Saccharomyces cerevisiae S288C: one gene and its partners. The gene in region 1 interacts genetically with each later gene. Each region holds a gene or a part of one and is shown on either strand. Other genes may lie near its edges.

What was found.
Region 2: mutations in RRT2 (region 1) and ROF1 together harm fitness less than expected from each alone (positive genetic interaction), as found in Saccharomyces cerevisiae (one large-scale study listed by BioGRID).
Region 3: mutations in RRT2 (region 1) and SKN1 together harm fitness more than expected from each alone (negative genetic interaction), as found in Saccharomyces cerevisiae (one large-scale study listed by BioGRID).

Annotation. Positions count from the first base shown.
Region 1 is NC_001134.8:709,533-713,291, forward strand, and holds RRT2 (diphthamide synthase), read left to right. Parts: upstream 1-2,058; coding exon 2,059-3,222; downstream 3,223-3,759. Other genes in the region: chromatin-remodeling ATPase ISW1, read right to left, coding at 1-2,007; snoRNA-binding rRNA-processing protein ENP1, read right to left, coding at 3,472-3,759. UniProt on the Saccharomyces cerevisiae protein: Catalyzes the demethylation of diphthine methyl ester to form diphthine, an intermediate in diphthamide biosynthesis, a post-translational modification of histidine which occurs in translation elongation factor 2 (EFT1 and EFT2).
Region 2 is NC_001140.6:454,840-458,525, reverse strand, and holds ROF1 (Rof1p), read right to left. Parts: upstream 1,936-3,686; coding exon 574-1,935; downstream 1-573. Other genes in the region: FMO1 (N,N-dimethylaniline monooxygenase), read right to left, coding at 2,999-3,686.
Region 3 is NC_001139.9:773,137-776,895, reverse strand, and holds the start of SKN1 (beta-glucan synthesis-associated protein SKN1), read right to left. Parts: upstream 1,704-3,759; coding exon 1-1,703. Other genes in the region: BTN2 (Btn2p), read right to left, coding at 3,210-3,759. UniProt on the Saccharomyces cerevisiae protein: Required for synthesis of the major beta-glucans of the yeast cell wall.

The DNA of each region.
Region 1 (3,759 bases):
ATCTTTGGAATCTGCTTTATTTTCCTTCTTTTTCAAAGAAGTCCTGTTTTGCTGGATAACTAATTGATCTAATCTTAACTTCTGGGTAGCCCTTTCTAAAATTTTCTCTTCCACGGAGTTATCTGTGACCAAACGGAATACCTTGACCTGCTTCTTCTGACCAATACGATGCGCTCTATCCATTGCTTGTAAATCTGCTTGTGGGTTCCAATCTGAATCATACAAGACAACGACATCTGCTGACGTTAAATTGATACCTAACCCACCTGCACGTGTCGTTAATAAGAAAACAAACTTCTTAGAATCAGGAGCATTATAATCATCAATGGCTTGAATTCTATCTTCGTGAGCGGTGGAACCGTCGATCCTGCAATATTCATAGTTTCTGAAGTAGCAATAATCCTCGAGAATATCCAATAATCTTGACATTTGACTGAAAATCAGAACTCTAGAACCTTCTTCCTTCAATTTCTTCAATAACTTATCCAAAACTTGAAGTTTGGCAGCGTTATAAACCAAGTGCTCATCCGTAGTGTACGGTGGACCTGGCTCAGCACCATCGAATAAATATGGATGATTACAACATTTTCTAAGTTGCATCATGATATTTAAAAGTCTTGTTTTGGATTCCTTGCTGCCATTAGACCCGTTCACAGCGTCCAGATCCTTTTCCAAAATCTTTTTGTACCATTTCTTCTGCATGCTAGACATACCGACATATAAATTCAGTTCCTTTTTAGGCAGTAAGGATGTTTCCACATCGCTTTTGATACGACGTAGTAGAAAAGGCTGTAAAACAGTGTGGAGTTGCTTGACAATTTTATCCTGATCTTCCTCTGTGCTTTCAGAAGAAAACCAATCGTCGAAATCTTGTGCATCGGAAAAGATATCTGGTAACAAAAAATTTAATAACGCCCATAGTTCATGCAAATTGTTTTGCAAAGGAGTACCAGTAATCAACAGCCTATTACGTGAGGTAAATTCCCTTAAGACTTGCGAAAGCATTGACTCTTCATTCTTGATTCTGTGAGCCTCATCAATGATAATATACTCCCAGTTAATCTTCTTAAGGGGCGACTTTTCTCTTATAATAATTTCATAAGAAGCAATCACAACATCAAAGTCACAACCTAAAAGTTTTTTTTGGATCAGTTCAGCTCTTTCTTCTTTATCTCCTTGCAAAATAAAGGCGTTTACGTCTGGCGTCCATCTATTTATTTCTCTCAGCCAATTATTTAAGGTAGACTTAGGCGCAATGACTAAAAATGGACCTGGAATTTTTTCAATGTACCTAAGATATCCCAGAAATGAAATAGTTTGCAGGGTCTTACCTAAACCCATTTCATCAGCAAGGATACCCGCTATTTTGTTCTTATGCAGAGACACCAACCAGTTGACACCTTGGATTTGATAAGGTCTCAATTGACCATTAACGTAAGCAGGTGATTCTCTGAATTGGAATTCAATGCTCTCATCATCATCCGAGTCTTCTTCTTTCAATAATTCCGCATCTTCTTCGTGTTCAGTCTTTCGTCTACGAACATCTTGGTGTTTGCCTTTGCCTTTGCCATTTGCTTTATTTTCTTCTAATACATCTAAGACCTGCCTGAATTTGGGATCTTTAGCGGCTTTACTTTCAATAAAATGCTTGAATAAACCACTCAAGGATAGCAGATGTTCAAATCTTTTTGTAGTGCCTTCCAGATCAAACTTTTTACCATTAGCATCCTTCAGCAGGTAACGTTTTTTATTCGATTCAGGATCATGTGGAGGGAGACCGACCTGGAACGGTTTTAAATTCTCCAAGTACTCTTCTGAAGCAGTCATAATTGAACCAGATGAAATACAATCGTATTTTTTTTTTTCTTGCAAAAATATGGCGAGAATAATTTTGAATAGGTTCTCATCTTTGTCCTTTTCATTGCAAGAATTGTTTTCGTGTTTTTTTCTCATTCTAGTATAGAACTTGAAAAAGTGAAAATTTGCAATAGCTAACATATAGGCCATAATAGGGTATTTCTACATCCACCTCTAGCTGGTTTTTGCATAGCTATACATATGGACTCTATTCAAGAATCAGATGTACTAAATGCAGTGAAAACAAAACTACCGCCGTGTTGTTTGAGAATATTCAGGAATAAGATCATCCTTGTTGGGACGTATGATTTAGATAAGTCAACTGGATACAGGTCAGGCTCACTGGATGTCTTCACAATGGACCTCAAACTTTTATGTTCGAATAATACGTATGGCGCAATCCTAGATTTGAAGTTATCCCCCTTTGATGATACATTGATATGCACGGCCCATTCGACAGGTAATATCATGCTATGGAGGATACGGTGCACAGATAAGGATGATTTCCAATCAAACGAACTAGATATTCATGCAATTGCAAATCTACAACTCTTTGAAAAAGATGTTCTCATTGCCTCGTGCCATTTTTCCCCACTTGATTGTAAGAAATTACTTGTAACAAATACGGCAGGCGAAGCAGCTACCATTGATATAAGAACACTATCTGTACAGTTCACGGCATCAGCAATCGCGCAGGCTTACTCAAAACTAGATAAAATAGATTACGAAGTTCAAGGTGCAACCGAAAAAGTCATTCATGTTGAATCGGGACAATTTTTGAAACCCCATGAACTCGAGTGTTGGACTGCGGAATTTGGATCTCTACAGCCTTTTCAAGACGTTGTATTTACAGGAGGTGATGATTCGAGAATTATGGCCCACGACTTACGTTCCAAAGAATTCATTTGGAGTAATAATCGTATTCATGATGCTGGTGTTGTTAGCATTAAGTGTAGTCAACCTAACTTTCGAAATAATAAACCCACGTCCATAATAACTGGATCCTATGATGATAACATTCGTTCTCTGGATTTAAGGATGATGGGTGAGTCCATATTTCCTGGTGCAAATGTCCCCACAGTTAATAAATTGGCGTGTGATCTTGGTGGCGGTGTTTGGAGATTTGTTGAATCCCCCATTGATCAGGAACAATCTCACCACAACGGCTCCGATCGGCTTTTAGTTTGTTGCATGTACAATGGTGCCAAGGTGGTGACCATGAATGATAATTCCGATGAGTATTTTCAAATTCAACATTATCTGAAGAAGGGCCATGATTCGATGTGTTACGGTGGCGACTGGTCAAATTCTTTGATCGCAACATGCTCATTTTATGATAATTCCTTGCAAACATGGATAGTTTAGAAAAAAAAATTCAGTCTGCAATATATGGACTAATATATAGGCTAATATATAGGCTAATATATAGGCTAATATATAGGCCATATTTTGATGATTTCGATAGATTATGCATAAAGAATTGATAGGAAGGAACTTGCCTGAACAATAATCTTTTACTCTATATTTTCTACTTATTATACATGATTCAGAAGCTTTGTTGAAAGGGGGAAAGACCGAGCGATATAAAATTGATGAAAAATTGATATTACAGCATCAATTGACATCAATCATTAAATCATCATTAGCTTCCTGTGGATCAACAAACTCCCTGCTGGCTCCTGCCAATAGTTCTCTTCTAATCTCAGGACCGATATCTTTATGGCCTCTTTGACGAACAGTTTCCAACAAGAAATCTCTCTGATCCTGGGTAATATCGTTCTTGTAACGTTGTGCAAATGTTAAGAAAGCCTTGTGCCATATCACTGGGAGTACTCTTGTAGCATCTTCCCCATTACTACCGTCATCCAAAATTCTAAACCTCATAAAGTAATACACGCAGTC
Region 2 (3,686 bases), on another chromosome or scaffold:
CTTAGTCTCGCTTTCACAGTGTTACTGCTATCATTTCTTCACTCCTGGAGGCAAACGGATATTCTATAGAAGAAATTGGATGAGGACAAAATGTGTTGTTGCAACTTTAACTACGTGAGAAAGGTGAAAGTAAGGTATTAGAAGAGAGGACACAAGAGTTATAATATCAGTAACTTTCGAAGTGGGTATCTCACATGGTTTTGATTGGGGTTCTCGATTGTTTTGCCCCCCTGGTTTATTCATTTTTCATAACAATGCCAAGAACCGTTTTTAGGTTTGATTTCTCAGTTCCCTTGCGTTTCTTTCTCTGGAAATTTCATGATAGAATTACAAATTTGGATATGCTTGTTAGTATATGATACAATGATGGAGGTGAAAATCAGATGGTCCTATAAATAGTTTTTCGAAATCCATCGATGGTAGGGAACAACAAGAACAAGCACCCTCCTGTTTTTTTAAAACCCTTTCTGAAAAACACACAATTGGCTGCCCTTTCTATGTAGTGAAGAATCCTTTTGGAATATGAGCGGTACTTTAGGTGAACCTTTCAGCAATTGAAAGGATGCTGATCTTCTACTTTGAGTATTGGTGGGATTTAGGATTGCTTGATGTGTTGTTTTTACTAAATGTTGGTGGATGTTGCATGCTGTCTGGCGCATGAATCATTTGGTATTGTGTTTGAGCCGGGGGATTCATACGAGGAGCTGGCAAAATATAAATGCCATCTAGGTTCTTGTTGGTTGTGGAGGTGGTTATGTTTACATTTGGAGGATTAATAGAATCTGTGACTGGTTTTGGTTGTCGGTAATCATGCACAAGTATATGGTGTACTGGGGGCATCATTGTTGGGGCGATAGGCGCCTTAGAGTGATTGCATTCAGGACCCGACCTCGAAGAGTATGGATCGATATTTTGGTATGGTATTGGGCTCAATGTATTGGAGGAGTATATCACTGAAGGCGACACGCCACGCCGTTCATAAGGTGCTGCAGTAGGTTGTTGCGGGAGAGTATTGTATGTATTGCAGAAAATCATAGGTTGTGAGACCGTACGTCTCAATCCAGGCTGATAGTTAGGATTGTAAACACCAATTGGTTGTGGCTGGTGCTGCATATACGGGAGAGGTAATTTATTCTGTTCATCTATGGGTAAGAGATATTGTTGCTGTTGTCGGTGCTGCTGTTGGTGCATTTCTCGAGGAGCGTTATTGAAGGTGGTTAAAGGTAACTGAACTGCGGTCCTAACTGGAATATTTCCAGGATGGTTGTTATAATTGCTCAAGAGATCACAATAGCTCGGAGAAGATGATAAAGACCTGCGCGTTTTATAATTATGAGCTTTGGTTCTGCCTCTCTCATTATTTTTAGACGGGTTAGATCTGCCATTTCCTACAGCAACTTTTTGTAAAGCATCTAATAGTTTCTGTGAAGGTCGAAATTTATGGAAGAAAGGATTTTCTGAAGGTCTCCTCAAACTTCCTTGATGAATATCCTTTTCCGTATAGTACGCAATAAGATGAAATGTTTCCAGCTTAGTGCTGTCGGTGGGATCCATATTGAATTTTAGAGAAAATGTTTTTTTCAGTAGTCCAGTATAAAAATACTTCCTATGAGCCCTCTCGAAGATATTATACTCAGGTACATTATGCAGCGGTAGATCGTGCGTGGAACCCAGCCTATTATACTCTCTATATACGAGAAATTTGCCTGAAATTCTTGAAGGAGACCAAGAAAAACCATCTGTCCATCTTTTGATGCCGGATTTCTCTTCGTTGAAAACAAAAATGTTTCCGGGGTTGACTAATTCAACCTTTTCTGCATCATATGGCCTCCGTTCGATGCATCTCAAATTTCCATTGAATACGCCCTGGAAAACAAGGGCTAGATCTTGCTCGTCGTCGATGTACCCATAACAGGTAGGGCTGATATCCATCATTCTTACGCTTACTCGTCGATCTCCTTTTCCTATCTATTGTTTGATTAATTATCTTAATTCGTGGTTCCCTTTTTTCTCGCTTTATTTGTTTGTTTTGTTGAAGAAGGGCTTACAAGAATGTACGTATTAAATAATAATTCATACAAATAAACAGGGAATGATACATAGTAGTTCTCCCGCAGCAGCTACGTATGAATTACCCGCCTACCCGGTACTATAAAGAAAGAATAAGTGGGCGTCGATTATGAAGATTTACTAACTGCAATTATCATTTTTTTGATTTTCCTCAGTCCCTTAGGTGCGTTTTTGTGTTAATGCCTATTTTTTTTTTCTAGGCTTTCTTCTTCACTTCCTCTTTCCTCTTGAATTTTGAGGAATATACGACCGAGAAAAAGACAGACTACTTAAAAAGTTGCCAGAGTGATTAAAGTTCCGGGAACAAGGCTAAAATACGTTTACAACATATTCTTCCTTTTTTTTCCACATAAAAAGGTTAATAGTCATAGTCATATGTTAGCGTGATTTCAACTTAAAATTAGAGATTATTAGATAATTTTTTTTTAAATGACGGCCAAGAAAGTGAAAGTCTAAAAGGAACGTTTATCGCTTAATTTCTCTCTGCCTCAGATTCATACGTTGTTAAGATCTTTAAAAGGATGGCCTTTGCAGGATACTGAGGTTTATGCTGGCGCGCCTGTGCGGATTTTCCAGATTCAAAAAGAAAGTTTTCTTTTTTTTTTACATGGGAACTGCGTAGCCGCGAAGCACTGCAGGCCTTTCAGAGCAATTTTTGGCGCTGCCTTTTAAAAACTTACATTAAGGTTCGCTATTGCCGAAACGGAAGAGGCGGAAATTTAAGTATTCGTTAATTTTACGGTGGCGGTACGGTATATTCTGCGTAAGCAATCTGCGGACGGCCGGATTATTAATCAATGTTTGAAAAAAAAAGATAGCAGAAGTGAAGATTTCTTATTTTAACAGCGATAAGGTATATACATGAGGGAAACGAAATATTAAGCGGCACAATATGTGTTTTTTCTATACAAGTACATTCCTTTTTACGTTAAGTATGTGGCGCCGGAAGGAAGTATGGTGCTTTTTTTTTCTTTAGGGCTTGTGCGTGTTCCGCTAGAAGCACATTTCTTTCTTCTTTGTCTGTATAACTACTGTTTCTTAGATCGATCAGTCTATCATCCCATACAACTGGTTCGAAATGACCGACCCTACGTGGAATGCTATTCAGTAGTTCCTGTAGTTCTGCATAGTATTCCAGGTCCTTTCCCTTTGGGAAGTTGTGCGTTCCGCAGGCATTAGAGTCGAAAGTTGTAGTTATCGGTAAGCTTTTACAGAATACTTCGACCATAATAGCCGCCTGTAGTTCCGACAACGGGAACGGGATGACCAACTGCGGGGTCAAGATAAAGGACAGCGTAGGATCTTTTACATAGATCATGTGCTCCCACAAATTGTGCAGATTGACAGACGAGTGCTTGTCGCCAGTAACACCCTCACCTAGCACTTCCAGTCTAACGGAGGGCTCTATAAATGGAAAGCTGTAATAATAGCCTGTGGCGAAAATAATGTAGTCTATATTCTGAAGTACTCTTCCATCAGATAAAGTAACTGAACGATTTTTCCAATCGGCACTGTCTATTGTTTGGACAGTCTCGATTAACTTGGCCTTCAGTTGATTGCTCGCAGGCTCTTTTATACTATTATATACTTTCTTTGCAACGGTAGTTAGTTGGTTG
Region 3 (3,759 bases), on another chromosome or scaffold:
TGTGACGCAACACCAACACCCAAAATTGTATCAGCTTCACCTTCTAAAATATCTATTTCCGGTGCGCCTCTTCCAACTCCCTGATTTGGATGATCCTCATTATCACAAGTACAAACACTCAACTTTTGTCCCGGCAAGTAAGAAATACCATCTGGGGAACTTTGGTTTGGTGTTATACCAGCGTCACATGCTTCATATGAATAAGGCCAAACACCTTGAGTACTCGCCAAATAACCTGGTCTGCCCAAGTTCCCCATGGTCCACATACCAGGCCATAATCCTGTAACTCGACCATAATTAGGGAGGTTCGCGGAAACTTCTAACGCACCTTCTGTAAAGCAGAGTTTGTTCCAGCTCTGTACCATACCAGATCTGTAATAAAGGTCATGGTTTCTGAATGCATCCATTCTCAACGTCAAGGTACCATTTGTAGTTGTAACGGCATCTGGTGAGTACCATTCAAGATCTTTCGTAGCGTCGTAGTGGATGTCAGGAGCTGTCCAAAACTGGTCATCGCCATCGTAAAAGGTCCTACCTTCAGCATTAAATTCATCGGAAAACACCAGCTGCCATTTAGATCCATCTTTCGCTACTCTTGTCTTCGCACTGTCAGGTGTGTCTGGATCAACTAAAGTTGTCCTTATAGCCGCAAGTTGAGGATATTGATATTCAGTCAATGACTTGGATGTAGTATTAGAAGACGACGATCCTGCTGAATTTGCCGCATGAACATGTTCATGATGATAAACTACCCCGGAAAATGTAATTGCAGGTAATACAATGAAAATAAATATACCAGCCATAAATAAAAATAGAATACCCAGAAGCCCCAAGAAAGATCTTCTATCCATGTGTTTGAAGTCGTCAACGAACCTCCTTCTATCTAACTTTGCTTCTTCCTCGACATTTGGATTATGAATGTAGTCATCGTCTTCCTTTTCGTCCAACGTTAACGGAAAGAAGGAAGCTGGATAACCGCCAAAGGGCGAAAAATCCTGTTCGCCCATGTATAAGTTGGTGGATGATAATGAAGAGTCGTGAGCAGAAGAAGATGAGCCAGTCATATTCGCTCTTTTCTTTTCATTTATAAGGTTCTGCGACTGAGATTGAGCCGCTGAAATATGCCTCGTTCCTACTAGCGGATATCTGTCAAAAGGTGGTGGAGACTTAATTAAGCTGTTGTTAGAAAAGCTACTCATATTATTTGAAGAAGGATGAGACGGTAAGTTTCTGTCCGGCGGCTGTAAATGTGATGCAAAACTATTATCGTTACTACTGCTTATAATGTTCTTATAATTATTGTTATTATGATTGTTTAAGTTATTAGCAGAAGTTAGGTTAGTCTTAGCATAATAGCCCTTATAGTCTGACATTCTTTGACCATTTCTCTCGGGTGAGTTCTTTTCATTAGCCAGAAGAGAAGTATCGCTGTTAGGATCGTTATTATAATTTATGGATGAAGAACTGGAATATTCATTTGCCCCACGCCGCTCATCGTCTCCACTGGGTGAATTATAATCTTCGTCAAATTCTTCACTTCCAAGGAAAGGATTACCGCTCACCCTAACGTTCTGACCATCTGCAGGTTCTAATGATGAGCTTTGTCTTGATTGCTCATTCGAGGAATAAAAGGAGTTTTCGCTTCCGGAAACACTATTTTCGCTGTTGGAATGACGATTATTGGTGAGGTTTCGCACAGACATATTCTGCTATTGTTTATGTAACACTAGCTAGTAATGGTTATAATATACTGTGTGCAATAGGCTTAGATCTGCTGTGTTTTTCTTATTATTTACCGTTTCTTTATTTCCTATTCCTTGCGTAACCGCTAACGATTGTAATAATTTTATCAAACCTGTAAAAGTTTCTACCAGCTGCGTAGAATCAAATGGAATATGGGTTGTTTTTTCGAGCGACTGAAAATACGAAGAGGCACTTTGTAGTCGGAGTAAATCGATAGTTGTAGTAGAATATACTGGTTTAATATTCTTCTTCTCTTTCTCTTTTAGCTTTTTTTTAGCAATGCGAATTTTTTCTCCTTAGAAGGTAGGTCTCCCTATTTTGGTCAGTTTTAAACGGTTCGCAGAGCGATATCGTTTGAATGCAGCAATGTAGTAGGCAAAAAAAAAGGGACAAGAATATACAGTGCCGAAACGTCTATGTACAGTGATGGCAGTTGGAGGAAGGCCTATGTGAAAGAAAACTATATGCTGTTATGCTCGGGAATATATAGTAATCTGCGCAGAGATACATGTTCGGCACAGGCTCACCTGGGCCTACTAATTACGCATCGATGTTGACCAATTTTCCGCTTTGGGCACGCATTCATTTGTTTTCCTTTTTAAAACAACTCAGATCGTATTTGTCTCAGCACCCACACCTTGCACCAGGGTCCGTTTACCCATTTGAGGAATATGTTTCTAAAAAAAAAGAGCCGTAATATTCCAGTATACCTCATTAAAAGTAAAAAAATTTGGACGAGTCCGGAATCGAACCGGAGACCTCTCCCATGCTAAGGGAGCGCGCTACCGACTACGCCACACGCCCAATTAATTGATGAAAGGGGAGAATAGAGAAGAATAATGAAGTAAATCTAATGAAATATCAAAAAGCCATTCTCAACGTAACATTTACTCAATTATCTTCAGGGCAGGAAGGGGAGAAGAAAAAAAAAGCTCTTTTACTTGATTACTGTTTCCGTTAATTTGAACTTAATTTTTCTAAAGATGGAATTGAGATATTGGTGAATTTTGAGATAATTGTTGGGATTCCATTGTTAATAACAGTAGTAATATTAGGTATATAGAATATACTAGAAGTTCTCCTCGAGGGTATAGGAATCCTCAAAATAGAATCGATAAACGATAGTTGAATTCTATTCAAGCAGAAATGAATTTCAATCATTCGATAAAGTAGCTTGTATTTTGTGAATCACTTGCCATTCCACCATAAAATACTAGCATAAATGTTAACATGGAAAACCGGATTTCTAGGAAGCAAATAATTGTACTAAAATCACGGATACTAATAATTTCTACTTTACTGTTGCCCTTTTATTTTGTTATATTGTAACAAAATAAATCCGCCTTCTGCCGTGCCGATTTATATTCCTTTCATAAAGTCAGTGAATTATAGTAGTATATAAGATGCATATAATTAGTTATTTAATGCCGTAAAAATGAAAGATGGGGAGTATGTATTATCACCCATTATATCTCCTCAATAATAGAGTTTCCCTTGGGAGATCTGCTTAGGGACTCGTTGTATCTGTCAACTTCCTCATCCTCAACGTCTTCTAATAGGGGTGAAGCGTGTTTTTTTAGTGTATTACCAGACACAGAGAAATCCAAAGTCGTATCAGAATCACTGTTTATACTTTCATTATCACTTTCTGCTGAACCAGAATTGCTATTATTATTTTTATTGCTGGCCTCAATCTCAGAGATAGGCAATGATTTGGAATTTTGCAATTTTTTTTGCTGGGACCTCTTGGTTTTTTGCTTATTTATCAAAGATTCTTTCCTTGCCTTCAATCTGGCTTCCTTCTCTTTCTTTTGCCTTTCTTCATCTTCCTTGGCAGCTTTTTCCTGTTCTGATTTTCTGCTTTCCTCCTGCATCAATCTTTCTTCCTCTATCCATTTTTTTATTTGGTCTTCTTTGGTTAGTGGTTCTTTCGCTTTCTCCGCTTCTTCCTCCTTCAAAGATTCAGACATGTTAACATCATCGTGAGACTCGTCTATTTTGGATTCAATTATTGGC